Arabidopsis thaliana: one gene and its partners. The protein of the gene in region 3 interacts with the protein of the main gene of each other region in a pairwise test. Each region holds a gene or a part of one and is shown on either strand. Other genes may lie near its edges. The genes, in order: IAA20, IAA34, NAC094 and ERF9.

Evidence for each region.
Region 1: the proteins of NAC094 (region 3) and IAA20 interact in binary tests that used the Arabidopsis thaliana proteins (3 or more experiments, as listed by UniProt).
Region 2: the proteins of NAC094 (region 3) and IAA34 interact in binary tests that used the Arabidopsis thaliana proteins (3 or more experiments, as listed by UniProt).
Region 4: the proteins of NAC094 (region 3) and ERF9 interact in binary tests that used the Arabidopsis thaliana proteins (3 or more experiments, as listed by UniProt).

The regions. Positions count from the first base shown.
Region 1 is NC_003071.7:19,301,877-19,309,571, reverse strand, and holds IAA20 (indole-3-acetic acid inducible 20), read right to left. Parts: upstream 1,859-7,695; 5' UTR 1,712-1,858; coding exon 1,339-1,711; intron 969-1,338; coding exon 872-968; coding exon of another isoform or gene 868-871; exon of another isoform or gene 761-867; coding exon 703-760; 3' UTR 501-702; downstream 1-500. Other genes in the region: AT2G46995 (uncharacterized protein), read left to right, coding at 1-104; ASY3 (asynaptic protein), read left to right, coding at 6,143-7,675.
Region 2 is NC_003070.9:5,178,637-5,186,701, forward strand, and holds IAA34 (indole-3-acetic acid inducible 34), read right to left. Parts: upstream 4,778-8,065; 5' UTR 4,608-4,777; coding exon 4,521-4,607; intron 4,394-4,520; exon of another isoform or gene 4,372-4,393; coding exon 4,218-4,371; intron 4,110-4,217; coding exon 3,969-4,109; intron 3,869-3,968; coding exon 3,760-3,868; intron 3,687-3,759; coding exon 3,620-3,686; 3' UTR 3,355-3,619; downstream 1-3,354. Other genes in the region: AT1G15030 (hypothetical protein (DUF789)), read left to right, coding at 1-125, 572-657, 743-834, 988-1,217; GAT1_2.1 (Class I glutamine amidotransferase-like superfamily protein), read right to left, coding at 1,402-1,668, 1,759-2,679; AT1G15060 (alpha/beta hydrolase family protein), read right to left, coding at 5,417-5,476, 5,593-5,693, 5,955-6,125, 6,327-6,501, 6,605-6,705, 6,783-6,885, 6,973-7,647, 7,779-7,856 and 1 more. UniProt on the Arabidopsis thaliana protein: Aux/IAA proteins are short-lived transcriptional factors that function as repressors of early auxin response genes at low auxin concentrations.
Region 3 is NC_003076.8:15,936,704-15,944,506, reverse strand, and holds NAC094 (NAC domain containing protein 94), read left to right. Parts: upstream 1-3,916; 5' UTR 3,917-4,015; coding exon 4,016-4,214; intron 4,215-4,303; coding exon 4,304-4,644; intron 4,645-4,733; coding exon 4,734-5,207; 3' UTR 5,208-5,397; downstream 5,398-7,803. Other genes in the region: DEG8 (Trypsin family protein with PDZ domain-containing protein), read right to left, coding at 29-95, 189-264, 362-428, 518-616, 700-785, 1,085-1,212, 1,491-1,624; AGL98 (AGAMOUS-like 98), read left to right, coding at 6,163-6,522, 6,600-7,229; AT5G39800 (Mitochondrial ribosomal protein L27), read right to left, coding at 7,571-7,639.
Region 4 is NC_003076.8:17,802,404-17,810,179, forward strand, and holds ERF9 (erf domain protein 9), read left to right. Parts: upstream 1-3,993; 5' UTR 3,994-4,338; coding exon 4,339-4,941; 3' UTR 4,942-5,138; downstream 5,139-7,776. Other genes in the region: CBP20 (CAP-binding protein 20), read right to left, coding at 34-99, 435-545, 680-713, 802-940, 1,025-1,248, 1,455-1,472.

The DNA of each region.
Region 1 (7,695 bases), on a different chromosome or scaffold from region 3:
TAGAAGCGATTTGCTCCGTCTCGGTCTCTGTTTTGCTTGATCCGGAAGCTATGATTGGAATAAACAGAAACCCTATATTTTGCGTAAGCCGAATACTTTTGTGAGTTTTAAGTTGCATTATTTATAGATGGGATCGAACTTGGGCTTAATCAAAGGAGAAGGCCCATTTATTTCCAAAACACAAAGTAGGAAATATCAGGTGGGAATTTGTTGTTTCCCCTGCCTCCTTCCTTGTATATATCAAATGTACATTGTGGTCAAATCGATAATCAAATCCAAAAATTCTTCGAAAATTTAGAAGTTGTCTCTCGACATTAATTTGTCGCTTGGTTTTCTTGACTACTAGTATTTTCTGAAACTGGACTACATCCTATTTGACAAACAAAAGAAAGTACATCCTATAATTTTATTTATAAAAGCATTCAACTAATTATATAAATTCAAATATCCAATGACCAATGGTCTGACTGGTTTAATGCACTGAAACATGATTGTCGATCGGATAATTGTTTTTTCCTTTTTTTACTATTTTTTTGTGTACTACCGAGAATAATCAGAGTGAGTTCAAGATTTATGTACTATCTATCACAAAAGAAAAATGAAAATAATATTATAAATATCCGACCATTGATTTACATCAGGCAAAAACTTTTTTCTTGGCATTACTTCGATTTAAACACAACAAGTACGTAGACTTATATATCAGTAGTGGTAATTAGCTCTTGAAATCTTCAGTCTTCTCACAGTAGACAAGAACATCCTGCAAAAAATCAACCCACAAATTAAAAATATATATAAGGATGATCATATAGTTAATTTTCTGCATAATTAACAATCTAATTATACAAAAAAGGATGAAAAGAGTGCTTACTCCCAAGGAACATCTCCAACCATCATCCAGTCACCTTCCTTATCTGCGTACGTTAGCACGTGACTCTTCTCATTGCACATGTCTTCTTCTTCAGCCCCTATATATTTCCATTTTTTCAATTCCCATCAGTTTTCATCATTTTTACAATTTACCCATTACACAGTACTTACACACTGCGCAATATATAAACTCTACCTACGGAATAATAACTCTGACATATAACGTTATCCAGATTTTTTTTTTGACAAACAAACAAACAACCTATGAAATAGTGATGGGCGATTATTACGGCGATATTAACCTTCAAACAAAAGAATAGTAATGAGCGGAAGTATTTTTTCATTCCGTAAAAAAAAAAAAAAAATCAAAACGGACTTATAAGAAAGAAAAAAATATCGTTAGAAATTTGCTACCTCTAAGACATATAAATCATTCTGATATGACATTATGTATACATAGAAACTTACAGAGAATGGATGCGTTGAACATGAAATCAAGGGTTCTGATCAAGTCGCGGTAGCCATTAAGAGACATTAGATCGATCTTTCTTCCAATTGGAACTCCTTCCATGTTCACTTTCACGTAAAAGCTCCCTACACTGTTACACTCATTCTCTTCTTCCTCCTCCACAGCCGCCACATATTCCGCATCCTCTACCGCCGGAGCTGCAACGGAGTACCCATAGCCACCGTTGAAATATTGAGTCCCTGAGGATGTCCCGAAGCTGAGTCCGAGTCTCAGGTCCGTGCTTAGGTTTCGAGTACTTGACGAAGCACCGAATGGGTTGCTCTTGCTGCTACTCTCTATTGAAGAAGACGATGAACTTCTCCCTCTTCCCATATCTCTAGCTCTCTCTCTCTCTCTCTATCCTTTTTATAATAATTTTAGGTTAAGACAAATGAGTAATGAGCCGCCATGCTTGGTTTGTACGTGTGTGTTTATATAGAAGATAAAACTAGGACTTGTTTTTATTTTATTTTAAATTTGATATGGTCTTAATTCGTATTTTTGTTCAAAGTTCACACAAATAAAAAGCGACGGTGGAATGATGAGACAGCGTCCGCTAAAAATGTTGTTAGTGTAGCAGACCAAAACACGTGTCAAACGATGATTCGATCAAAGTGTTGGTTATGATTTTGTGGGTTCGGTTTCTCGCTAGTTAATGTTTGATATCTAACCCCAAAAAATAAATATATACATTTAGCTGTTTTGATGATATGAAGTAGTATTAAAGTTAATATTGAGAAATTACATCTTCTTAATCGTGTTCAATGCATGAAAGGTTATCGTGACGCGCATTGAGGCGTTTGTGGAACTACATTACTTCCCACATTTCCAAAATTAATGTGTTTTCATATGACCTCGATACAATTAACACTTTAATCAAACAAATTATTTTCGGAAAGTGTTTGGGTAAATGCTTGCTTAGTAATCGGATTAACACTTCTTTCTTAAGTTAATTAGGTATAGTTCTTTACTTCTGTTTAACAAAAGTTATGACGAAAGTTACGATGTGGAGTTGTGGACCCATCATATGTATGCAAGCATGACAAATGTTTGAGCCTACGATGATTCAAGTCCAAGTCATTATTAACCATAAAACAATGCGATTTAGTTCCACCAGATGATTTGAATAATCAAAACCCCCAATAAGTAAGTCTTAGACCGATTTTATTTCATGTAAAAAGAAGATAAATCTCATTTTTGTTTCTTTACAATTACGTTTATTCGAAGCTTAGACATAAAAAAAAATTAGTCAACTACTAAACAAGTTGTATCAGCGCTGCCATAATCGGTCTAAAACGGACTATTCCAAACCGGTAAAAAGTGCCTATATAATGATGTAAATCATACGTAATATATTTGCGAAAGAGAAGTTGTTAGACGTAATAATAACTAAATAAATAGAGAAAATTTGAAAATTGAAAAGAAAAAAAAAAGCGAAGGAAGAGAGGGGGCATGAGTAATGAATGGTTCACCTTAAAGAGAGGACCTAATGAGAGTTCCTTTGTCTATGGAACTTAAGGAGACGTCACATTTCTCATATTTGCAAGCACGAGAAAAAGGAAACACACACACTCACGACACAACGACCAACGACTATATTTCTTGTCATTACCCACGTGGCATTTTTGTTTCCACGTGGACTCCCTCAACCACAACATGTACATTGTACAATGGATGCGTGCCTTATGGTAAAATTATATAATTTCATTGAAAATATAATATAAGAATCAAATTTTAATGGATGTGTGCTTCGTGACGAAACTAATTTCATTTCAATTCATCAAACTTCGTTATTATAATTTCATCCTTCACAAAATAACACAACGTGCAAGCATAGTGTAGCTTGGTTTGGATTGAACCATGTAAGCAATTAGAGACATATACGCACTAGAGTTGAAACCGGCTTGGTTCCCTCGCTTAATTCAGGTTTCGATATTTCAGTTTGGAAAAAATGTACTAATTAGTTGGAACCAATTGAGTTTTAGAGAAATATTGAAGAAACAAAAAAAAAATCAAGAGAAAAAGGATAAAGGAGAGATGTTCCCTAACAACACTACAAATTACAATTTCCTCACTTTCTTATTTTCTTACTGCCTCCGCCTCCTCTCTGTCCCCTCTTTTCTTCCATTATTTTCATTTGCATCTTCTCTTTATTTCTTTGCAACTTTAATCTTATGATATGTAAATTGTAAATATACTCATTTTTTTCTATATTGAATAAAAAAACTTTTGTTAGAAAAAGATACACATATACGATATTTCCTCAAAAATAATATGAAGTACTGATTTTGGCAGTCATTATAGAATTGCATTTTATTGGAAAGATACACACATAGTTCAAGTACTTTATATATGCGCTAATTTTGAGAACTCCACTTTACTGCGTCGTGGTTGCTTGTCAGTCAAAACTTGGGCTTGCTTTTAAGATGCGTGATTGCATTTGCATGTCTCGTGGCTTTCTTTTTCTGTAGCCCCTCTTGTTGGACTAATCATAGCCTTTTGTTTCCTCCCTTTGCTTTAACATTACTGAAATTATCGGATTGTTTCTTTCATTTGTTGATTGGATGTATGTTTACATTATTACATGTGTATTCATTGTTATAATATACAAGTTTTAAAACATTACTTCCCCTACCAAATAATTTCAAATATATATATATATATATATATATATTCATGAAGCATTTTTTATTTTATTTTGGTTTAATGAAGCATTAAATTTTGAACTTGCTTATGTTACTTTTATGATATTGGAAGAAGTCGAATTATTTCTTCGTTGATATCGTATATAAAATTTAAAACTCATAGAATTTCTATTCAAAAAGTAATTGGTGATTAAATGAATGGAGTGCCTATATATGTATTTTTTTTTTCTTGCAATCAATTTTGATTTAGAATTTGCATGCATGATATTTTTTTAATATTTTTTTATCCTTTAATAATTTTTTTTTATATTATCTAAAGTTGTATTTGTATTCCTTACATAAAGTTTGGTTACTTTCATCTCTAAGGTAAACTGCTAATATTAAAGAAAGTAATTTAATGGAAGCAAAAAGTGTTAAAATATGTAATATAATTTGAATGGAAGAGTAGCCCCCGAGGGCAATCAAGTGGAGGTCTTCCATGGTTAGGATGCAGAAGCTTAATACGTTTATATAGATAGATAAACAATAGCCTCCATAAAGTAAAAGATACTTGCATGCGTGCGTGTAGGTATTGAGTCGAGATGTTACGTGCGTGTCTTTTTATAGATACTATATATTATTGGTTCTTCTAAATCCTTAAAAATGTTAAGATTACGCACGCAATTCATGAATTGTATATAGATTTACCAAATCTTGAATTGATTTTAAATTTCTTACAAAGCAAATACACTGGTAGTGTGACATTTTGTCCCTGTGGATTCTGTATGACGTAATCTCGTTCCTCACATTATGACACTTAATCGAGTGTTTTTTTTTCCCTATCATTTTTTTTGTAAATTTATCCTCTACAAATTATGTATGTTTGTGAACTATTAAATACGATGTTGATATATATATATATATATATATAAACTATATAATAAATAAGTGAATTATTTTACGAGTATGGATCATAAATAAAACATGGAATAACAATAGAATGTTTGTTAAATAGAACTCAAATTAATGATCAGTTATGTACAGTCCGGCCTTAGGCCCAGGCACTACCCACTTGGGCCGGGCCTGGTTATGTAGCATATATATAAACGCTAGTCACCGGGATAGTTGGACTTGGATGGCTCTAGCCTGACCCGTCAAAGTTTAACGGAAACTTGACATATGCAAAGACCGTCTCCGTTTGAACTTTGAAGCGATTGAAATTTTTTGAGAGGCGAATTAAGGCGCCAAAATTTTGAGAATGATAAGTAGATTACGACACATGTACTCACCTCAATCTGACGGTTACGATGCAATGTAAATACGAAGAAATCTCAGGGTTAAAATCGTCCAAATGTTCGGCGTCGTGTATACGCAATTCAGCTACAGACAGTGTTTGTTACACACCATTTTGAGAAATCTAAATTTTCATTTTCCCCCGCTTCTCTCCTAGAAATTTCGAATTTCTGCTTCTCTCTCTCTCTATCAGTTTTCTCAGATCTTATTCCAGTTAATATTCCGGCGATCTTCTTTCTCTCTTTGATCACTTAATTCTTCACCGGAATCAGAGAGTCAGGGCTTTCGCACTTGTACCCGCGAGCTTTGATTAGGTAATTTCTTAGCCAATGATACCATCGCTCGATTTTCTCTGTTTTCGTTTTCGATTCATGGCTCGTTACTCTCATATTCAGTGATAAGTCGTCGCGATCTATGCCCCCTTTCGTTAAATTGGTGTTATCGTCTCGATTTTGAGTTTAGTACCAGCGTTATAGTGTTGTCTTTGCATAATCGGAGAGTTTTGGTATGAAATTCGTTGCTAGAGATATCACATCTCGCTAGTTGTTCATCGTTTCAAGCATCTATTATCTGCTGCTTCTCTTGTTTTCGTCATATTATCCAGATCTAGCACCTTCTTATTTTGGGATTTTCTATTACCAAATTTTTTATCCGAGTGTTAGAAATTTACCATTCCTAATGATTAATTTATCATCCATTATCGCTGAATATAGCCTGCGTTGTACTGCTTTACTTCTCTGTTTGTGTTGCTATTCAGAAATTATATGAGTGATTAGGTGTTCGTTGATATTTACATTCTTTTTCCCAGCAGAATTGTTAACCTTGTGGTGATACATTTCAGGAAAAGATGAGCGACTATAGAAGCTTCGGCAGTAACTACCATCCATCAAGTCAATCTAGAAAGATTTCTATAGGAGTTATGGCTGATTCACAACCGAAAAGGAATCTTGTGCCAGATAAGGATGATGGAGATGTTATTGCTAGAGTAGAAAAGTTGAAATCAGCCACCGTAACTGAATTACAGGCGAACAAGAAAGAGAAAAGTGATTTAGCTGCCAAGCAAAGGAATTCAGCTCAGGTCACAGGACATGTGACCTCACCTTGGAGGTCTCCGAGATCGTCTCATCGGAAATTAGGGACTCTTGAGAGTGTTCTTTGTAAGCAAACATCTAGTTTGTCTGGTAGCAAAGGATTAAACAAGGGACTTAATGGAGCACATCAGACACCAGCTCGTGAATCATTTCAAAACTGTCCCATTTCGAGTCCTCAGCACAGTCTTGGTGAGCTGAATGGTGGCAGGAACGATAGAGTGATGGATAGGAGTCCAGAGAGGATGGAAGAACCTCCATCTGCAGTCTTGCAGCAAAAGGTTGCCTCACAGAGAGAGAAGATGGATAAGCCAGGGAAGGAGACAAATGGAACTACTGATGTTTTGAGATCAAAACTGTGGGAGATATTGGGAAAAGCTTCACCAGCAAATAATGAAGATGTGAACTCTGAGACCCCAGAAGTTGAGAAGACCAACTTCAAGTTGAGTCAAGACAAGGGTTCAAATGATGATCCTCTTATTAAGCCTAGACACAATTCAGATTCTATCGAAACTGATTCTGAAAGCCCTGAAAATGCTACCAGAAGGCCAGTAACCAGATCTTTGTTGCAGAGGAGGGTAGGAGCCAAAGGTGTCCAGAAGAAAACCAAAGCTGGTGCCAACTTAGGTCGCAAGTGCACAGAACAAGTAAATAGTGTATTTTCTTTTGAGGAAGGTTTGCGCGGAAAAATTGGCACTGCTGTGAATTCCAGTGTTATGCCAAAGAAACAAAGGGGTAGAAGAAAAAACACTGTTGTAAAATGCCGTAAGGCTCATTCTCGAAAAAAGGATGAAGCTGATTGGAGTCGGAAGGAGGCGAGCAAGAGCAATACTCCACCACGTTCTGAAAGCACAGAAACTGGCAAAAGATCTTCATCTTCAGACAAAAAGGGAAGTTCCCATGACCTTCATCCACAGAGCAAAGCCCGGAAACAGAAACCAGATATTAGCACAAGGGAAGGAGATTTTCATCCATCGCCAGAAGCTGAGGCAGCAGCTCTGCCAGAGATGTCCCAGGGATTATCTAAAAATGGCGATAAACATGAACGGCCGAGTAATATTTTCAGGGAAAAGTCTGTTGAGCCAGAAAACGAATTCCAGAGTCCAACCTTTGGATATAAAGCACCAATCTCAAGTCCTTCCCCATGTTGTTCTCCAGAAGCATCTCCTTTGCAACCTAGGAATATTAGTCCCACATTAGATGAGACGGAAACACCAATATTTAGCTTCGGTACTAAGAAAACCTCTCAAGGGACAACAGGCCAAGCGTCAGATACAGAAAAGAGATTGCCTGTAACCTTCATAAACTGAAG
Region 2 (8,065 bases), on a different chromosome or scaffold from region 3:
TAAGAAAGGAGCATCAAGAAGATTCGTCTAGTGATGATGGCGAGCCTTTAAGCTCTCAAGGTCGTTTGATATTTGAGTATCTTGAACGTGATCTTCCTTACGTCCGTGAACCCTTTGCCGACAAGGTTTAACTATTTTAACTCTATCATTCTATCAAGTCATCAAGGCATATGCAGGAGTTATTAGAAACCAAAAAGATTCAATTATGATGTTAAATGTCTCATATTTTGAAATAAATTTTGCATGAGGCTACACGGAAGTTAGGTATTGAAAGATGTATTTATTCATGTTTTGAGCTTCTTTTGTACTAATTTTACTGTTATTAGATAAGTTGTGACTTTCAAAACAAACAGTTGAAGTAACATCCAAGATTTATTTATGAAAGTAATGCTATTAGTCAAATGCAACAACTCTTCTGTTCGTTCCAAAGCATCCATTAAGGACTATCAACTAACTGTATAAAGTTCAATTACTGTCCAGCGACTTGTTTATTCTTGAATTTGAATACACCACTTATGATCTAAAAAAATGCAATTCCTATAGCTGTCTTATTCAATTGTTACCTTTGCAGATGTCTGACCTTGCCTCTAGATTTCCCGAGCTGAAGACGCTAAGAAGCTGTGATTTGCTTCCTTCAAGCTGGTTTTCTGTGGCATGGTATGAGTTCTTTGTGACATGCGTATGTACTTTGTTCCACATTACCGCATTGTCTCTCTTAGAATCCATTACTCTACTTTTGCAGGTACCCAATTTACAAAATACCCACAGGACCGACACTCAAGGATCTGGATGCTTGTTTCTTGACCTATCATTCCCTTCACACACCCTTTCAAGGTAAGATTGGTGTTGAGCATTGTTGATAGTAAGAAACACAAGTTCTTCGTTCTAACCATGACCACATCATCAGAATTTGTATGTTTCAAATGATCCGAGAGTAACAACTTTTTGAGTAAAGATACATGCACTATCTATCTTTGGCTCTTGCAGGTCCAGGCGTTACAACAGGGTCTATGCATGTGGTGCAGCCAAGGGAAAGTGTTGAGAAGATGGAACTGCCTGTCTTTGGTCTCGCCTCATACAAGTTGAGAGGTTCTGTATGGACAAGCTTTGGTGGCTCGGGCCACCAGCTCGCGAACTCTCTCTTCCAAGCCGCAGATAATTGGCTGAGGTTGCGTCAAGTCAACCATCCTGATTTCATCTTCTTCTGCCGCCGGTAATGATAGATTATACTATGATGACGAAAAATGATATAGGAAGTTATAAAAAGGAACTCTTTATGATTACTGTCTTGAGGAAACCTTACATATAGGATACTGTCAAAAGTTTTTCATTTGGTAGCTTCTGTAAATTCACAGAATGCTAGTTTTCTTATTGTGTGTAAAACTGTTTTTGCAATAAAGGCTAATAGTTGAGAAAAAAGGAGGACTCTATGGTCCTATCTGTGTGTTCGGGTTCTAGTAGTTTTCTCTTGATGGCATTGGAGCAAAGACGAGCCATCATATGGTGGAAGGAAAGCATATCAGACAGCCGCTCCGCCGAAAGTTTGTCCATTGCTCTCTCTTGTTCCTCTTTCATTTTCATCCTTTTCATATACACACATGAGTTCCTCACCGTCGCTCCCATCTGCTTCAGCCTATTCTCTTGTTGCTTGCTTAGAACTGTATTAGCCTGCATGATTCATTCAGCCATGTCAGAAAATCCAATATTGAGTGGCAAAACATAGAGCCTGTATGTATGTAAAACAAACGAATCTCTGACCTCTAGAAACTCAGCTTGGGAGAAGCTTTTGACGAGTGTGGTGGTCTTCCTCTTCATCTCAACCTGTGTTGCGTTTACTTGTTTCTTCTGAAATGCGATCACAGCTTTCACAAACTCCTGATAAACTAAAGCGCAGCCTGGATAATCAAACTCATCAGAGCCTGGAAGCCTCATCCTCTCTGGATGAAACTGCAGACCCATCAAGAACTGACCTTCCTTTGGATCATATCGATTCGGATCATAAAATCCTTCAATCAAACCATCAGGAGCATAAGCCATCGGCACAAAACGTTGAGCCAGTCTCTTCACACCTTGATGGTGATACGAGTTCACCATTATCTCCATCTCCTCGAACAACTTATGTAACGGAGTCTCCTCCACGATTCTAGCCTCGTGTCTGTGCCCATCGTAGTTGTCATAATCTATATGATTTGTCGTTGTCATCGTAGTTCCGAGTTCTTTGTCGATGTCTTGGTAAAGAGTTCCACCTGCGGCAACGTTGAGAATCTGAGAGCCACGACAAATGCCTAAGAAAGGAATGTTTCTTTCGAGACAGAGTCTAGCTAGAGTCAGCTCAATGCTGTCTTTCTCTCGGTCGATGGTCATGTCCTCTGCATGCGCCTTCTTAATCTCCTCCATGTCTTCTGGCGAGAGGTCTGATAATTCATCGTCCGCGTAGAGAGAAGGATCGACATCTTCTCCTTCGCAGAGGAGGACACCATGAATAGGCTCGAAGCTCTGGAGCATAGAATGGATCCCATTGACACGTGGGACAATGACAGGGACGGCACCGGAGGAGACGATGAGATCGAGATGGTATTCTCCTACGAAGTCCACGTACTTGTTCTTGCGGAGAGTCCGACGAGAGACGATGAGAACTCTGGGGAGAATCTTGGACGAGAGATCATTGGCGACAACCATTTTTATGTAATAAATAAATCTCTTCTTCTTGTTTTGTCTTGTTTATGTCTTAATCCTCTCTTTCTTAATTGGATGGTTATGTCTTAGTTCTCGTTCTTTATTTATAGATTGGAATGGAGGCGTCGAGGCGCAGCGTCCACTCAAAGCTGACGCACACTTTTTATTATCTGTATACGTTTTTGGTCAAACCTTTCCTATTGCCTATTGGATGCTGAGATGGACTTCTCTGGATATTCCAAATTATTCCTTCTTTTGATTTGGTTATGTTAAACAAAAAAACGTTTTCTTAGTAATAAATGGATATGGATCAGATTAGGTTCTTAGGAGGATTAGATATGAATGGATGACTCATTGACTTGTAACAATATTAAGCATGCAGAGCATATACTGTATATGTCTTTATTTTATACTATATAAATGCATGTCTTTCTGTATTTGGAGGGTGTTGAATTAATTATGGAAATCACGTCATCCTAATCAGCCACCGGTTCAGTCACTCTTACGTGTAAAAGATAACGTCGTAGACTTTCAACAACTCCGTATGAATGAAAATGTAAGAAAAAAGATCGAGGTTGTCGCCGGAGTTGAGCTCTCTTGTCTTCACAAGGCCTTCGATATCCTACTCATTTTTCGTTTATGCGGATTATGAATTGAAAAGTATGAAAGATAAAATGGCAAATTCACCATCGTAATTACACCACTATATCTTAAAACTGGATGGTTCACAATATCTTCGTATCATGGTAAGACGAGAATCCAGACGTAACATATCGGAGCTCTAGTGATCAGGATTTCACCGAAAAAAGTAGTTCGTGGTTCTTTCTTTATTTCGAATATAATCGTATTCAAAGTTACATTTACCTTTTCTCTTTTGTTTCATTTCCGATTCAAGGCTGACTTGGAAATTATAACAAAGAGTGAAGAAAGAGAGAAGCTAATATTAAAAGGGAAGTACAGCATCGTTTCTTCTTGTGATTCTCAGCCGCTCCACGCTTTCTATGAACTCACTGTCATTTACAAATCACAACACATGTAAACGCTTTATTTCAGTAATCTACAAAGAAAGTATCAAGAGCTTACTTCCATGGAACATCCCCAGCATTTCTCCACAGACCTTCTTCGTCTCTGTAGACCAAACAGAACTCAGACTCCATCTGGAACAACCTCAATCCCGACACACTCTGCATCCCTACAGATTGTAATGAACATCCGGTATAAGCCTACTAGGAACATTACTACTTATAGTACTTACTCATCTTTGAATCCCAAGCTTCCCATGAAAAACTTACCAAACATGTCCTCGAGTTGATGAGCAAGAGTTGAATAGCTTCCATGATCAAGAACACAGACCTTGCGACCTACCACCAAACCATCCATGGTGACCTTTACATAACCCCACTTCCGTCTGTATCCTTCATTACTACAATATCCTTTGCCACATGTCATAACTCATAAGTAAACACCGTCTCAGAGTTGAAAAAATTTACCAAGAAATTAAAGGTAATGGAAATACTAATGGAAACGGCAAAGAAACTCACTTTGGCCAGATGAGTGGTAAATCTCATGTTGTATGGTTCTCAGGCTGAGACCTAAATCGATTACGCCACCAAACTCCGTGGTCTGCGAGTAATATGGATGATACTTGGGAGAATTTGGGAAAACACCGAGTGGGTCTGAGTCCATTGTTGGTTTCTATAACAAATACATATTCAGCACATAACAGATACATAGAAAGGTGAGAATGATGTTGATTTATATCAAGCAGCTAAGGCTAAGAGTGTCAGGAGAGTTAAGAGACATCATTGCAGACAGGGAACAAACAAAAGACAAGAACACATTACCTTCCAGGAAAGGATCAGTTTGTGGTCTTTTTGTTGTTTGTCTGATGCCACTAAGTGCAAGGGATGGGGAGGATCGCTGCAATACATCTGGTCAGCCAACACAAAAACCTGAAATTATCGTGAAGTCAGAATTGTACTATACTAATCACAGCAAGCACATCTCTATCTAGTGAAGTGTCTCAATGTTATCAGAGAGTGTTGACAACTCATTGTCTCAAGTCAAAACCTGTAATCACTCAACATCAAACACGTTACAAAAGAAATAGGTAAGTCGTGCTAGAGAATTCTGTACCATAGAGAATCCAACGAATTAATTTATGGACAAAGAAAGAGAAGAACTAGGTATGGTCTTACATGATGGTGGAGAGACAATATCTTTCATGAAAGAGAGCTCTGTTGTTTAATACTAGACAATTCAGATCTATCATTACATCATGTATCCCACACATTATCTGAGAAGTAGGGCTGTGTCATTAATGGATCTAAGACAGAAAATGTACACATAAATCCATGTCTATACAATTGCTCTCATGGATAACTCAAGTCCTCCAAAAGAAGCAAAGCAGTACAAGAGAACACACCAGTTCTTCTAAAGATAAATGTTCAAATAAAAAGCTCGTTGCCATAACAAAACAAGGGAAATCATCACAGTAGACAAGAGCTTCCAGCATCTCATTCGATGCTTTTCCTAATTTACAGGTGTATGACTTGAAAAAACTGCATCCTAAGCTCATGTACAGTTTGCCCAGATACTAAATGTACGTGTCTTAAACGGAAATGGCATCCTTTTTAACAGGCGCTTCTGAAACACACTTCTTCGACACCACCTTAGTGCGACGTCTACAATCTACATGTGCTATAGCATGCAAGGAACAGAAACTCCCGAAATGTTTCACTTATGCGGAATCATGGTGGCTAAGAAATTCAGTTATGCAAGGATAGACTTGCTCCACTGCCTGCAGTAAGTTGTCAGAGAAACGATTAACAAACGAAACAAGCATGCACATGATACAGCATTGAACAAAGTTCCAACATAGGAGGAGACCTAGAAATGACTGGGGAACAAACATACCAGTCGTCCTCCAACCAAATCATAGTGTGCATAATGTGGTCCATCTGGTTCTCCAAGTAACTTATAAGTGACCAAGTTCTCCGGAAACAGCTTAACAGTGTCTGCCATATTCACAAGCATTTGTAATTAGTCATAATGGTGAAAATGCATGTGTGAGTAGCTTAAAAATTTATTTGGTGTGTGTGGAAAGTATCACAAAAGTTAATCCATCTACGCCTTATACAGCCTCTCATAACTCGAAAGAATTCAGTAACAGCAATGTAGAATTTAAAATGAAATGCATATCTGGGTAAATGAATGGTTTCATGTATATGCTAGAGTCATCTATGCAGAATTTCATAATAAACATTATGTTAGTATACCTTCCACAGCCGCAGGGGGGCAGATCAAGTCCCGATCACCTGCAAGAGCTAAGACAGGGACACTGGTTCTGGGAAGATGATCCTTATAGTAAAATTTACCACTACGATCACGTAAGCCTCCCTCTCGAAAGGCCGTTGTCAGCTGAATAAGTAGTTTTGCAGGTATGGTACCTAGATGTAAGAAAACAAAGAAACTCTTGAAAATCACCATAAAGGGAGCAATTACGGATTGCAAAAAAAGTCATGGTACATTCAAGCATCTAATAGTAACTGTTCCAGCATTTTCTTTTTCTTAATGAAGATACGTTTCTTTTCCACTTAAAATACATTAAGAACTCACATACTTAAATGGGATCAACTGTTTTTACTTACAGAAGTTATTCAAGACAAGCTTTTCTAACATTTCAGGGTGCATCATATCTGTTGATGATATCAAATCATTAAGCCAAGATAATACATATGGAGGACGTGTCGAAAGAGGAAAAGCGGCAGCCAACAAAGCACCCAGAGGAACAACTGGAACACTCAGAGCTTCTGCAGGATTGGCCTGTAAAAGAAGTATCTAGTAAATTAGCTACCAAAGATATTTATGGCACATCAATTCTTGTCAAAGATTCCTGCGCAGAGTGATATAACATAACGACACGTACAAGAGGTATGAGCAATTTGAGTGCAGAATTTGAGGTTGTGTAATCAACCGATGATGCCAGAGTTGCCACAGCTGCCACGGAAGGTTCTCGTCCTTCAAAAGCTAACAAAATAATAGAGAAGAAATGAATTTCGGCCTTAATATATGAGCCTCTGTTTGAAAGATGAATACTAACTTACCACAACGTGATAGCATTGCATAGAGTAGGATACCCCCCATGGAGTGCCCAATTGCGAATAGTTTGCCGTCCTTGGGCTTGCTTTGTGCTCTTACATACTCAATCTATAGCAAACCAAAGACGGACACCCAATTCAAACAAAATTCAGACACGATTATGCGAAGTATTCAGCAAGATCAACATTGCCTCACCGCAGCAGGGACATCCTCTTCCAGGTAGTGATCAAAATCCCAGTCATATTTAACTATCAAATCCAGTTGCTTCTGAAAATCTTCTATGGTCGCAGTGAGGCGCTCTTGTAAATCAATCAGCGGAGGCGAGACAGACCTTTGACCATCGTCGAAAAGATTCACAAGGCGCTGAGCCAAATCTCTGACTTGGTTAACAAGTCCTGAGTTTTGCTTTGACTCTATCAAACTCAAAAGCTTCGATCTTATATCATTAAAGCGCTCGTACAGCTGTGTATCATCTACAAGCATTGCAATTTTGTCAAACAACTTAGCAGACATGAACACAGACTGACCTTCACTGAGAAAGCCAGAAAGTCTTTCTGACAAACTCATGAAAGTTGATGTCAATCTCGCCACAAGCTGTGACTCGTCCCAAGCCGATGCTTCGCCAACAACTGAAACATCCGACGCTGGTGCAGGTGCACTACTGTCCATAATATCAGTAGTCTGCTTTTCATCAGAACAAGTTTCTTTACCTGCAGCAGCTCTAGCAGTAGATTCTATCTGATTCGACAATTCATGAGCAGATTCCTCAACGTCCTTAAGATCAGATACTCGTGTACTCAATCCAGCTCCACGAACCTCGAGAATCCAAGTCTCAAATCCCTGTCCAGACATATGCCTTGCAAAAGAGCACTGCAATGACATCAACGAAGATTTACTTGACATTGATCAACAATAAATCTACTTCCTCATCTAAAGATACACTAGTACAATGTAGATCTTGATGATAAAGATTGACATTAAAAACGATGAAGGTAACATACACCAGGAGATAAATCATATCCGATGGCATTAGTTCCTACTCCAGACAACAGTAACAATGGATGATTCCTCGTCGGAGCCTAAGAGAAGAGAGAAAATTCTTGATCACAAAAAAAAATATATAATCCAAATTGCAGATACAGAGAAAGGTGATTGTTGAAATTCGAAAACCTGAGGAGGAGGCAAGTAGCGCCAGAGAGCGAGACGCCAATCGGTGTTAGGAACGGAGACGTAATGAAGCTCGTCGGCGGTGCAAAGAGAAGGTTTCGTGGGGAGCTTAACAGAGGAA
Region 3 (7,803 bases):
TGACACAAAACCTGTAGTTTATTTATACCTTCAAGACAGCAAGATCCTTAGCACGATCAGCACCAACAAGTTTTCCTTCAAAGTTCTTCTGTACCCTTCAAGATTTACACAAACGAGCAGACATGAAAATAACTAGAGAGACTATATAAACGGCTGAAATAATCCATCCCGCAGATAAAAAACCTCACCCATCAGATGCCAGAATATTCACACGACCAACTACATCCCCGGGGCTAGGATTTCTTGAAAGGGCATTGCCAATAACTGTTCAGCAGAAGATACAACTAAAAACTTATGATATTGTCCTTGCCCATCTCAAGCACTTTGTAAGCTCAATAACTTTTCATTCAAATCATCTTACCGTGATAATTGGTCACGATGTATCCTTGTCCGTCCCAGACTACTCCAGAGCCATTTCCTTCTGGTATCTACAATTAGATTATGAGTGTAACCGTAAGTCAAAACAATTGATAATGACATTAAAAAGAGGTGTTCTTTAAGTACTGCGAATCAGTACCTCAACCACACCCGTCATTTTGAGCTGAGGCCGTAATGTCACATCAAAGATGTTGACAACGGAATAAGTATTCTTCTCAAACAGTTGCACAATTCTCCCCTGAAACATAGAAAAGATATATAAATCTTTAGGATAACCATCAAAACCTGAAACTTACAAGTACTTTCGCTAAAGAGACAAACCTCAGTAGGGAAAAGAGGTCCAGCTGGGAAAACAGTTGGACTAACATCTTCAACGGTTGCAACGGATGGATCACCAAGTGCTAAGGCTGTAGTAATACATCACGGAGCATACTCAATTATCAAATTCTATCACTAATGGATCAATGAAAACCATCTTATTATAAGCTTACTATAAGTGTTAATGAAGAGGTTAGACTAGTTCAAGGAGCTTCAGAACTCTACCACTAGTATTGCAAAATCCTTTAAACTAACTTTGAATCATCACCAGCTAGGAACTAAAGGCTCTGATTGTCACAATTAAGCTTCTTAAACAAGATATATTCCTCATCAGATTTGTGTAAACAAAGCGTTAGAAGAAAAGCAAATAGCTGAACAAGGTGCAGACCTGATAAGTACCTTGAAGGATTAAAGCACAAATTCATGAATAAACTTGTCAACAAGATTCTCCTTGTCGTCGAAGGGACACTTTTCACAGCTAACTCATGTAAATTCGACTTCCAATCTTGAGTAACCCTATCGAATAATCAAACAGTCAAAAAGTAACATAAACATCAAAATTCTCCAAGAAATCAACAAATCTTAATGTCTGATTCAAAATGAGAAGTTTCTCCAAAAGATTGTTCCAAAAGTTAAAAGCTTTACGGTGATTTTTCACTAACGTTGATTCACACATAACACCATTCTTAGTAACCTAAAGCCCATCAGGAAAAGACATAATCTTTGAGCAACCCAAATCAAAGGAACAAATTTTCAGCAAAATTTGGGGCAATGGAAGAAGCTAAAATGCTTACTTGACAGAAGAAACGGGTGGGTGTGAAACGACGTCGCCTTGAGAAATTTTGGAACAGACTGAAGAAAGAAGTTGTCGTCGACCAACAAATTCATTCTCATTAGGTTTCGAACAGAAAGATGCTATTACCTGCATCTTTCCAAAAAAAATCGAGAAAACTCTGAGACCAGTCGATTTGGCAAAAACCTGGATAAAATTAAGAATCTTAGATAATTTTTTGTGTAGCTTAGGAAGAAGAAGATACTTGAAATACCGAAATGCCCTCTCTAGTAATTTAGAAAATAAATGATTTATTTATTTTATATGTGTTATTTTGTTGTGAAAAAACCCAAAAAAGCAGATATTTATTTTTTTATTAAGAAATATTGCATTTTATACGCGAAATTTTAAAAAGTAATTATTTTAAATATGTGAACTTCGTATATGGCCATTTAATATATAAAAATACGTTGATCGGGCACCATTTCATACAAAATTATTTGTTGATCATGCCAAAATACACACGACGTTATCTACCGCTAACAGATCCGATAACATCCGTTAACTAGTCTCTTTTAGTTTCCAATACAACGTCGTTTCACCATAATCGAAATGAGAAAAATGTCATTTAATACTCCAACTTTCAAATTGTGACAGTTTTATACATCAACTTCACATGTGATTATTTTATACATAAATTAAACATTGACCAGCAGTTTGAAATATGAAAATGCGTTGAGCAGACCAGAAAAACATATCGCTATCTAGGCCTAGATATTCGGATTTTAGTTTGGATTCATAGGGAACAGCACTTCTATCGGGAAATGGGTGTCACGCCGCGATCCAAAAGTGTTAATCGAGAAGAACAGCAAATATGCATTGGGCTAAAGACGTCATTCAGTTTAGGTCCTAAGAGTGAATCAAACGATGTGAGGCCTGAGTGGAAGATGAAGGAATTATGCTTTTAAAAGTTTGAAACAAAAAGAAAACTGTAGGTTTGCTTCTTGATTTTCCAAATTCCTCTTCATTGTTGGACTCTTGTCTTACCATGTATACTTTGTTTTTTTGTTTAGGTGGACCACAATGTGATTGTCTTGTGCAAGGTCTCTTTCAAAAGTGTTATCAAGGTTTATGAAACATCTCCACTTCTTTATTTCAGGTTCACAATTTACTTTTTTTATCTCACTAAATTAAAATGTCTCCTTCAATTCTCTTTTCTAGGTTGAGCAGACCACTTTGGAGGAGCTATTAATCGAACCTTGCGAGCGAGTGTTGTACCAGCCGAGAGGCAAGTGTACCTCCATCATCCTCTTCCTTTGAGGACGACGAGCATGTCCGATACATGCTCCCTAGGGTTTAGTCTCGGAGATAGATGGTTTGATGTATCGGTTTTAAAGCACAAACCGTTCAAAGCATTAAAGCAAAAACTTGGATTTTCACAGCATTAATAGATATTCCAAGAGGATGGTTGTTGACAACTTTAATGTTTTACATATAAAGAGAAATAGAAAGCTTAGGTTAAAGGCTATTGACCAAACTTCCCAACTTGTGTTGCGTGGGTTAAAAAACCTAGGCCATTTTTTGGACTTCTCTCATCTTGAATTGTTTTTTGGTTCATCTTGTTTTTTTTTTTTTTTTTTACCACGAGATCTTCATTTCTATTCTACGTATACATTATGTTTTTACATGTCTCAAACTTGGAGACATATATAGCAACCTTAAGCAATGCCTTCGATTTTACCAATGCCTATATTGACTTACCATGGATTTTACTTTTCTTATATGTTACAATAATATATATAAAAGTATGAAACTATAAATAAATGTGGAAGAAGGAAGGAATAAATTAATTTTAGGGAATCGCGAATTTGAGATTTCATAATTTACGTAAAAGAACATTACTTTATTTACGGCTATAACTAAAACTACAACGACCCTTTGCTTAAGCACCACAACTTTCAAATATCAATCTTAATTTATAAGACTTTTACTTATAGACTTATAGATATAGAGATTGGATCCCATATAGATTCTACTCTAGAAAAACGTTTGACATTAGTCGGTCAAAGTCGTATCATCATTAAGTCATTAACCATATAGTTAGATTTTTTTTGGTAGAATGCATCTATAAGATATCGAAACAAAGGAAGAAAAACGTTTCCATATCATATTTTCCTAAAGATAAACCACATACGTAATGTAAGTATAACTTTTCCTATATTGTTCGACTCGTCCGTAGCCTCGATTTCACGAAGTACGCAATAACCTTGAAGTTTGAATCTTCTCATAAGAAAAATAATAATTTTAACGGCAAAATTCAAGATTCATAATATCTTTCTTGTATAAATCTCCTCTTATTCAAGAGACATTGGTCTTATACCTACGCATCACTTTCTGGTCCAATTATCGTTTCCCTATGAACCCATTTCTTCTTCTCTAAGAAACTTCTTCCTTCTTCCCCAAACTTACTCTCTCTATCTCTATAAATCTCTCTGTTTCTCTTCATCAAATTTTGGTATCCCAAAAGTACTAATTCTGTGTGTGTTAATGGTTCTAGTTATGGATGATGAAGAGAGTAACAACGTTGAAAGATATGACGACGTCGTATTGCCAGGGTTTAGGTTCCATCCCACTGATGAAGAACTCGTAAGTTTCTACTTGAAACGGAAGGTTTTACACAAATCTCTTCCCTTTGATCTCATCAAGAAAGTCGACATTTACAAATACGATCCATGGGACCTCCCAAGTAAGCCACAAAACTCTAACTTTTAATTCTCCAAATATATGGAAACAAAATATTTGATTATGCATTTTCTTAAATCAATGTTTAAAAAGAGCTTGCAGCGATGGGGGAAAAAGAGTGGTACTTTTATTGTCCTAGAGACAGGAAATACCGCAACAGCACAAGACCTAACCGAGTAACTGGAGGTGGCTTCTGGAAAGCAACCGGAACAGACCGGCCTATATACTCATTGGACTCCACTCGATGCATCGGTTTGAAGAAATCACTTGTGTTCTACCGTGGTCGAGCTGCTAAAGGAGTCAAAACCGATTGGATGATGCATGAATTTCGTCTCCCTTCTCTCTCTGACTCTCATCACTCATCATATCCCAATTACAATAACAAGAAGCAACACCTTAACAATAACAACAACAGCAAGGAGCTTCCTTCAAACGTAAGTTATCGGATTTGCCCTAACTTGCTTTACCCGCAACAAAGGTTAGGTTACCAAACAAATTAGAATCGATCTTTTTCATTTTGTAGGATGCTTGGGCGATATGTAGAATATTTAAGAAGACAAATGCAGTATCCTCACAAAGATCAATCCCACAATCTTGGGTTTATCCAACGATTCCTGACAACAATCAACAGTCACACAACAACACCGCAACTCTCTTAGCTTCATCAGACGTTCTCAGCCACATATCAACAAGACAAAACTTTATTCCTTCTCCAGTCAACGAACCCGCAAGCTTCACAGAATCAGCTGCTTCTTACTTCGCGTCTCAGATGCTCGGAGTCACGTACAATACAGCCAGAAACAACGGAACAGGGGATGCTCTGTTTCTGAGAAACAATGGAACAGGGGATGCTCTGGTTCTGAGCAACAATGAGAATAACTACTTCAACAACTTGACTGGAGGGTTGACTCATGAGGTTCCGAATGTAAGATCAATGGTGATGGAGGAGACTACGGGGAGTGAGATGTCGGCGACGTCGTATTCCACTAACAATTAAGATCATAGTACTATTAACACTTGAATTAGTGTAGACGTTGATCATCGCTAATATGTATTAATTTTTCTTGTCTTACTATAAACGTTGCTTCTCTTTTGGTTTCTTGAAGGCCGAAAAGAAAAAGAAAAAAACAAAGACTTGCTTCGAACATGCAACTTCTCCTTAATTTGGTATAGATAATTGTAATGGCTTTTTATATTAATCATTAAGTCTCATTCTTGAATGACACTAGTTTTTTTGGATTTTTCAGAGCCATATTTCATATTCTTTATGAAGAGGATACAATGCTTTCTTTTTTTTTTTTGAAAATAAGTAAAGAAAATATGAATTTGCAAAATCTTTTATTTATGTCAATAATGGCAAAGTAATGGATTAAAAAGGTACACGGAGTTATAAATTATATTTCTCATTTTTTAATGGAGGGTTCTAAATTTTATTTAAAATGGATGTATTTTGGTCGATTTTTGTTAGATTGTATTGTCACAAATTTTTAGCAAATCCAATAATTATATTATTAATTAAGAGCTATTTACATAATGATACAAAGGGTATCTGAAATATATATGGACAAGCAAATCTTTCTTTTTTATAGATCTTATTAATTAAAAGAGAGTGAGAGTAGAAAAAAAAAACTATTTCCTTTTTATCAGTCCTTAACGGCTAAATTACACAAATCTATGCAAAAGATATGGAAATCAAATCTTCACAAGCTTTGTTTTACCGATTAGAAGAGTGAAAAAAAAATAAAAAATCTAACTTTAAGGACCAAATTTTCTATAAGTATATCGCTATTTCACAAAGTTGTCTCTGACTTTCATATTCTTCATCATCTTCTTAGGGTTTCCTAAACCTAATTCGTAGTTTCACTCTCTCAATTTCATTCGTCTTCGTGCTTTCTCTTCACTTTGAACGTGAAACAAAAAATAGAGAGATTGTCTTCGAAATCAACAAGAAGATGGCCATTCGATCTTTACCTTCTTCCTCAGGCTGTTCCAATTCCTCTTCGTCTTCTTCTTATTCACTCGCTTCAACAAGTTTGAGCAATAGACTTGAGACCATCTTCAGGAAAGCTTCAGAGCTTTGCACTCTCTGTGATATCGAAGCATGCGTCATCTATTACGGACCAGACGGAGAACTCAAGACATGGCCTCCGGAGCGAGAGAAAGTGGAAGACATTGCTCTCAGGTATAGTCAACTAAACGAAGCCTTGAGACGCAAGAAGAGCGTTACTCTTTATGACTTCCTGAACAAGAAGAAGAACAAGACGAACTTGGAGAAGAAAGCAAAGATAAAGGACAACGACTTGAAAAGACTTGTCTGAAGAACGTGAATGTTTTAAAGTATCCAATTGCTGATCATTACTCTCCTGACCAAATTTCTCAACTGATTCAGTCCTTAGAACCTCATGTCTCTAAAGTCCGAGAAAGGATTCGTTTTGTTGAGTCGCAGAAACATAAGGAGACAAAACCGGATCATCAGAGTTTAGCATCATCCTCTCTGAATAATCAGACCCAATCTTTGAACCCTAGCCAGTTTTCGCTGTTTATGTATAACCATGGAGATAATATTCTGTCTCAGATCCCAGTCTCTGCATCAAATTTCAATCAGGATTATTTCTCAGCGTTACTTGAACAATCTGAGTTGAAGAGTCAGATAATGAAGCAGGAGGTTTGTGGTTATGAGCAGAACATGTGCATGAGTAACAATGGAGATGCTACGCTCTCTCAAATCCCACTCTCTGCATCAAATTTCAATCAAGAGTTCTCAGCCTTACTACAAGAAGAATCTGGCTTGATGCAACAGGAGCTTTGTAATTATGATCAGAACATGTTTATGAACAACAACAACTTCCAACATTCTTTTGTCTCAAACACACAAGATCACTCTGCTCCTGCGGTACAAGAATCTGTGAACAACAACTATGGGTTGATGCCGCATGTTCCTTGTGGTTATGATCAGAACCTGTTTACGAGTGATATTACCAACAACAACCTTCTTATCGACAACTCGATGTTTCTCTGATAACAAAGCTCATTCAAGAGAGTGTGAGACTGTTTTTTCATCTTCTCGTAAGAATTTTAATATGTTGTTGATGTTTATTTTGCTAAGTATTGCATAACGCATAATGTTTTCTTGTATCAAGCTATTTTACTATGTGAACATCCAATTTATCAAGTGAATATATATTCCACTGCATAAACATGTTACCAATTACTTTGCATATCGTTTCGTGAAAATATCAAACCAAATCTCCCATTTTAAGAATAGCACATAAGGATTACGGACAATAGAAGAACATAATCATAACTTAAAGCTTTATGAAGAAGACTTAAAAACATATATATCTTCTGACTGACTATTTTTCACTTGGAAGCTTCAGTTGACTCGTTTGTGTTGACTTGTATCGGGCATTGAGATACATATGGTTTCAGCTGTAAAATCCAAATAGATATACATCAGCAGAGCAGCTAAATCACACAACAAAGGTTAATGTAATTAAGTAAGCATTCCCATTTCAGGTCCCTAACTCAAAAACCTTACAACAAGAACAAACCAAGATAATTATCAGGATGAACCTAAGGAGATTCTACCAACA
Region 4 (7,776 bases), 1.9 Mb from region 3:
TACTACGCATTATGTCATTTGGGATAAAAATACCTCCTCTTCCATGGCGATTTTGTCCTCCTTGACCATAGTTTCCACCACCACGCCTTCCATTTCCATCTGTGATTAACATATGCAAAAAGCATTTAGGAATCTAGTGTTTTGCAGGCTCTATTTACGGATTCTCACATAATTTGACTTGAATAAGATACTTAACACTAGGACCATATCTTGTTTCACATTTTCACTATCTATTCGAAAGGGAACTGGGAAAACAATAAGCAGATGCTTTGCAAGATAAAGAGTCTTATTCTGAGCACTACAATTCTAAGTAAAGCAACTTAAGACTCGCATTCATGGTACTTTTAGTTCACCATTTGTCCACAGTATAGTGCGAAATCATGAAACCAGGAATAAGATCAAGTAAATTTGGTAGAAAGTTGAAAAAAACATACAATTCGTTGGCGCAGCTTGAGGATAAGCTCCCAATGAGCCAGTACCGTAATCCACGAGCTGCCTTTGTGCTTCGAGTTCCTTCTGAACTAATTTCCCATAACCACCTCTAGGTAATCAATGAGTTAAGGAAAAAACACATGGATTGGCGGGAAATTCATAACCGAGAAATCAATCTTTCCTACCACAAAACAGGTATACTAAACAAGAACAACAGAGTGCATAACTATGCGGACTAAAAGGATATCAGGATCGTAATCTGTACGGTATTCATCACGAACCTGTATGAAATTAGAAAACCATGATGACCTTTTAATTGTAAAGAAACGGTCAGGGAATTACAGAGAGGATGATGCATCTGATGAATACCTGGCCACCGCTTCTACCACGGCCCCATTGTCTTCCTTCTTGGAATCCCCAATCAAAATCCACACGAATAGGCCGGTCATCGAGAATAGTCCCACTTATATACTTGACTGCATCTTCAGTATCCTCTCTAGAGTAGAACCTGATAAAAACAAGACACAAAACCAAAACTCAGCAACCACCATAATGAAACTTACATATAAAACTGTTGAAGATGAAAGCTTACAGGACGAAACAAAAGCCACAAGGTGTTTTAGTGTTCTTATCCAAACCCATGATGATCTTTTTGATTTCTCCAGCTCTAGAGAAAAGCTCGTAAAGCTGTTCTTCAGTAGTGTAAAAAGACACATTGCCAATGTAAACCGTTGTAGATGCTCTTAGCGCTTCATCAAACTCCTCTTGTGTTCCTGAAAATCTTCTATCACGATAAGCTGATAGCTTTGCTTGCTCCTGACAATCAAAAACCCCAAACATGAAATCGTGAGACCAAACCCTAGACAACAACTTCAAAAATCAATTAGAATCGCTTCAGACCCATCAGATTCCAGACAACCCGGATACTAAATTCACTAAAAACATTAACGAATCTCGATTTTCTATGCTAGAAAAAGCAAAACCCAGAAATGGTTTCCGATAAAAATCTAAACTTTATGTACCTTGAACAAAGAAGCCATCGCTTCACGGTGAGAAGAAGTGAATCTGCGATGATGAGAGAGGAGGATAGCTTAAATTAGGTCTATGCGGGGTGAAAGAAGAAGAAGATGAGCGAGAAATCGAGAAGGAGAGACACTTACACTCGTCTTCTTCAAAAAGGGAACCCTAATTTCTAAAGCAGAAGCAGAACTGATAGAAGAAGGCAAGGACACTCCGGCGACTCTCGAGTATCCGGTTTCATGGCCCACCTTACGAAACCTTACAAAGTTACAATTAATTCACAAATATTATTGTTGGTATTAATTTAATATTAAAACAAATAAAAAACCCAAATTTTTTGCATCTAAAATGTTCAATCAAATAACAATTCCGGTTTGGTTTCGGTTCAATTATTTCGGTTTCGCTTTATTTGTTTAAACCATAAAACCAATTTGTAATTCAATTTAGTTAGGTCTCGACATAATAATCGAACCCTACGAACCAACCCAAACCCGACCGAAAACCCTGATCCAAATCCAAAAATTTCAAATATTCAACGGGTCCTAAACTTCAAAACCCGAAAAACTCTAACCCAAACCCGATCTGAACAAATATCCAAACATACCTCAAATATTTGATATATTATTTATATTCATACTTAAATACAGAAAATATTTGGATATTTGGATATTTTAGTTATTTTGTGTATTTTAGGTTACTTTGGATATATTAAAGTAAAACTATTCGTGTTGTTTTGAGAGTTTTTGAAATTTTCAAGTAATTTGATAAATTTACATACAAAATTTTGATATTTTAATATTTAAATAAACCTGAACTCGAACGGTTTAAAATTTTAAAATACCCGAACGGGTCTTAAACTTCTAAATCTGAAATACACAAACTCGAAATATTCGATCCGAATACTGAACGCCCTTTAGTTTTAATTTGGTTTAAATGATATTCCGGTTTGGTTTGTTGTGGTTGTTGGTTTTAATTTCACAGTTCAGCATTAGCAAACCTTAAATTTTATATTTTTAAACATCCTTTATTTCTAATTTCTAGATTTTTGCCTATGAAGATATCTTCAAAGTAATGTTTTAAGAAAATACCTCTTTAAGGACAAGAAAATCATATAAGGAACTTTGCTGAGGAGACATAGAAATAGTTATTTCTCGTTGTTGTAAGCGGTGGTTTAGGTGACTCATTTTCGAAGTTAAAGCTCTCGTTAAATCTGTGTTGAAGCTTCATAATCTACTATGGTGTTCCCTCCAGATCACTTTTTATTACTCCAATACTCATTTTTGAGAGATTCACTGAAGATACTCTAACATACATACGTGTATCTGTAACGTAACGGGATTCAAATACCATTTTTTCTCTTTTTTTGTGTTATGTTGTAGGATCAAAAAAATTGTGACTTTTGTGTGGATTAACATTTGACAATAACGTTAGACGTATCCATTATTCATGTGTTAAAGTAAAATACTTATTCAATAAAAGTTAATATAATTCTAAATTTGTTTTATTTATCGAGTTAAATGAGTTAACTATAACATATATTACATATATGAAATCCTCTACAGCTGTTACACAACAATGTTCATCAATATCCAATGCTGCTATTCTTCTGAAATCTGGACATCAATCGCAAAGAATGTGTACAAAGATAGATTTTCCACAAAATGGTCTGCTGTGGTGAATTACATATCTGATTCTCAGCCTGATCGCATCCAAAGTTTCTTATCCAGGTACACATTCCAAGTCTCTATTCATTCCATTTGGAGGGAGAGAAATTCTCGTCGTCACGGAGAGAAGTCACGTTCAGCTTCAAACCTCATCCGACAGATAGACAAGACTATTAGAAACCAGCTATCGACAATCAAAAAGAAAGGGGATCTTCGACTCGAGAAGGGGCTGCAAGTATGGTTTGACATGCGTCCATAGCATCCTCTAAGAAAGAAGACTCTGTTTTTGCTCTCTCAATTCTATTTACTCTGTTTTTGATCTAGCTCTATTTCTCTTATTATCAAAATATCAAAAAAGCTGATGTAAAAAGTATATTTTTTCTTTTAAATATAATTTGACATTTTATTCAAAAAAAAAAAAAAACAATGTTCATCAATAAAGTTGATTGTTGTTGATTTCTTAAAACAGGAAATCAACGAAATCTCCCAAAGTAAATAAAATTGTGTATCAACCTGTATGCCATGTATCTAAATAACAAATCAAAATCTTTTAGCAATAGATTCAAAAAAAAAGAAAAAACTTTTTGCAATATGATATGTCATATAATGATAATTAAGTTGATACAAATTGGATTCTTAAAATAAACTGGATTCTTAAGCTGCTAACCATTTATTAAAAAAAGATATTGACACATTTACCTACTCACATATTATCAAACCATATATCTAAATCACCTACTACATATTTCATTCGAAACATTGTACATAAATATATCTCTATACAAAATTTAAATGACAACATTGTCAACATAGAAGTATAGAACCGTGGCTATTAGCTATTCATATTGGGCCGACAAAAAAAAAAAAAAAAGGCTATTCATATTGGTGGGTACTAAAATAAGGCTTGGAAATTCATATTAATGTAAAACTCATTTAATCGTTAGAGAGCGTGGTAGTCATGTAGATTAATGAAGGAGCGTGAGATCAAGCAATCAAATTACGCAAAGTCACGCCGCAGTAACGGGACGTTAAGGCAAAAAGCCGTCACAAAAACATTAAAACCTCTCACATTGTCTGTTTTTTGGGCGGCGCTTTTCAGTCAAACCCTCGTTGACCGTCTCTTTCTCTTTCTCTAAACCAAAAACCTTTTCCTTTATAAATTAAACCAAAAACAACGTCACTTCTCTATCTAAACGAGAATATATCTCTTCTTTTATAAGCAATGGCTCCAAGACAGGCGAACGGTAGAAGCATTGCCGTGAGTGAAGGCGGCGGAGGGAAGACGATGACGATGACGACGATGCGGAAGGAAGTGCACTTTAGAGGTGTGAGGAAGCGTCCATGGGGTAGATACGCGGCGGAGATCCGTGACCCGGGAAAGAAAACCCGGGTTTGGCTCGGGACATTCGACACGGCGGAGGAAGCTGCAAGAGCTTACGACACCGCCGCTAGAGAGTTTCGTGGCTCCAAAGCAAAGACTAATTTCCCTCTTCCCGGAGAGTCTACTACGGTTAACGACGGTGGCGAGAACGATTCTTACGTCAACCGTACGACGGTGACGACGGCGCGTGAGATGACGCGTCAGAGATTTCCGTTTGCATGTCACCGGGAGCGTAAAGTCGTCGGTGGTTATGCTTCTGCTGGTTTTTTCTTCGATCCGTCAAGAGCTGCTTCGTTAAGAGCAGAGCTTTCTCGGGTTTGTCCGGTTCGGTTTGATCCGGTTAATATCGAGTTGAGTATTGGTATTCGAGAAACCGTAAAAGTTGAACCGAGAAGAGAACTAAACCTGGATCTTAACCTAGCTCCACCGGTGGTGGACGTTTAGATTTTTTTCTTCTTTTCATAATTTGTATTTTACATTGCCGGAAAATAATTAATGTTTTCTTTAGTAGATGAGAAAAAGAAAAATCTCCTATGTTTTTGGCTAAGTAAGAGGAATTTTTTTTCAGAAATCTCCTATGGTTCCCTAATTACGTGGATGTAATTAATTACTAATCAAATATCTCCTTTTGATATTTTTTTTCTACTTTTGATGTTTTTTCTTAAATGTCTTAAAATGACATGATGGTTGGTTGATGTATCAAATAGGTAGTAGATATCACTCCATTAAATGGATGTGGAATATGAAACCAAGAAACATCGAACATTTAGATGGTCTGTCAACATCAAACAATTTAGTATAGGAGAGTACCCAAAAATAAAAATAAAAAAATCGGATGATCATGACACAAAAAAGTAGTTATCGTTTTCATTAGTTTTCTCATTATATTGAATTATGGTTTCATGGTTTGGTTTATAAATTAGACATGTAAAATTCTTTTTTCATCTATGAATTGTGTAGGAAGAAAATTAAATTCAAAAGTAAAAAAACTGTAGTGAGTTATGAGTTTTTTTTTAAAATGTATTTGAAAAGTAGAGTGGTAGCATCATGAGTCCAATCTTCGAGTTTCGTGTAGATGGGGATGATGGCATGAGTGTCAGGTGGGAGGCACGTGTGCTTTAGCCGTCCATAATCTGTTTTGTTCCTATGCTTTCAATTTTTTTAAACCACAAACATATTTTGGCTAGGGTGGCTTTCTTACGTCTAATTATTATGTTTTGGTTTTATTTTTGTCATCTAAAATTTTATTAATAAAAAGATGAAATATATATACCGCTGATAAAAATTAAATAAAGAGATAAAATTATATTATATGTTAGTAATAACTCTTTTGAGATGTAATTAATTTTGTTGAAAAAAAATCATAAGTACTAAAAAGGATCGCATCTAAACACTATTGAACAAAAGTTAGAGAGATTTTCATAAAGGTTCCCCTATAGAATATCTAAATGTCGGAACCACCAATAAATCCGAATAGACCAGGCACCAAAGATAAGCAAATAACAAACCAATATGGATGAAAATAAAAATCCAACACGACCATAGGACTCAAATAGAACTACTAACACACTTCACCAACAAACCACAGAAAGCAAGAAACACTAGAATTAAGACAAAAACTTTAAATTGACTGCAGATAAATCACGTAAGATCAATAATTCTTATATGCAGATATTAGTCGAAGTAGCGTAGCCATCTATAAACTTAGAGCTGATTAGCGTTCTATCTAATTATCTATAAATTGTTTAATTACATTAGTTTTTATTGGAATGAGTATATTATAAAACCAAAAACCATCACAGCTATCAGATTTATAACCCTCTAACCCGTTAATTAACAAAGCCTAAAAGTCAATCCCATCTTTATATCAGAAACTTTAATACACATTTTTATTATAACAATCAATTATATAAGGAAAGATCCAAACAAATTCTATATCATGCATTGGATAAGTCGCCGAAGTGGGTGTGGGACTCAAATTAAGGTCCGGTAAGCAGATATATGTGTGGCTCCTACAATTAGTCGGCAGATTCTGCGGAGCGTTCATTCTAACTATTTTCTCACGCACTTCATTATCGCGTGTCACTCACCGACAAAACATAGACCACGTGATCTCACCGCCTCGCGCTTAAGTTCATACAATTTTGGCCATTGCCTGAAACAGCAGCTCCAACCATGTCTCACCGCGTGTTGGTCTGCTCACGAGCCTTGCGTGCGTCGTTGTCTTAATGCTTTGATTTTAGTATTTTATTAAGTAACTATCAAGTCAAGGCATTAAGTCATTTTCGTAATTCACTGACGGTTACAAACTTACGACATTTAACAACAATCTTGAGCATTCACACTTGACCTTTTTTTGACACTTTTCAACCATTGACTTTTCGTAGTTTCGACAATGCATGCATGGACATACAAAAGCCTTGAATGCGAAGAAGGATCATCTGTACTTACTTTTACATTCAAACAAAAATTAACAAATGATCTGATATCGAACCACTTTTTGTTTTATAAGAAAATATATTTGTTTTTTCTCTCATAGTTTTTCTCCTGTCAACAAGACCGTTCATCCTTACCAAATAATGGCAGATTGGTATAAGATCTGTTTTTTTTTTTTTTTTTTTTTTTTTAATCGTGTAGTTGTGTTGATAATAAACATGAAAAGATGATACTGTATATTTCAATTTTTACCGATTTTAGGTATAATCTAGGCAGGACCGGCTCAAAAATAATTTGAACCTTGTGCCTAATTATTCAGGATTTTCTATTTAACTTTTGAAGTGGATTTTTTTTTCAAACAAGAGATATTCATGAGTCTATCTATATTAGATTATTAGTAACTAGATTACCAAATAAATTACAGTGTCGTTAGTTGCTATTGGTACACCCTTTATGTTATTAGTTTATTTAAGTCTATAATAGTTCCTTTTGTGTTGCCGATGGAGGTGCATGAAACTGTTTGTGCATCATGTGCATTCTCCTAAATTTCCCATTTGTTAGAGAGATTTGGAAAGATACTTTTAGAACACTATGAGCTAAAAATAAGGAGATCACATTGTTCGTCGAGAGATGAATCATGAATGTTAAAGAGGACAGGTTCCTACCGCCGAGTCTGTTAGATTTGTGTAGGAAATCGTAGCACATGGTCTTGCATGGGTTATATAGCTTTTGCTTAAATCTGTTGAGGATTTGATGAAGTTAGAAATTATGGACAAACTATAATGAGACTTTAAATCTTAACACATGGTTTAATTTTAGATTGAAGTACTGAACTATATGGTA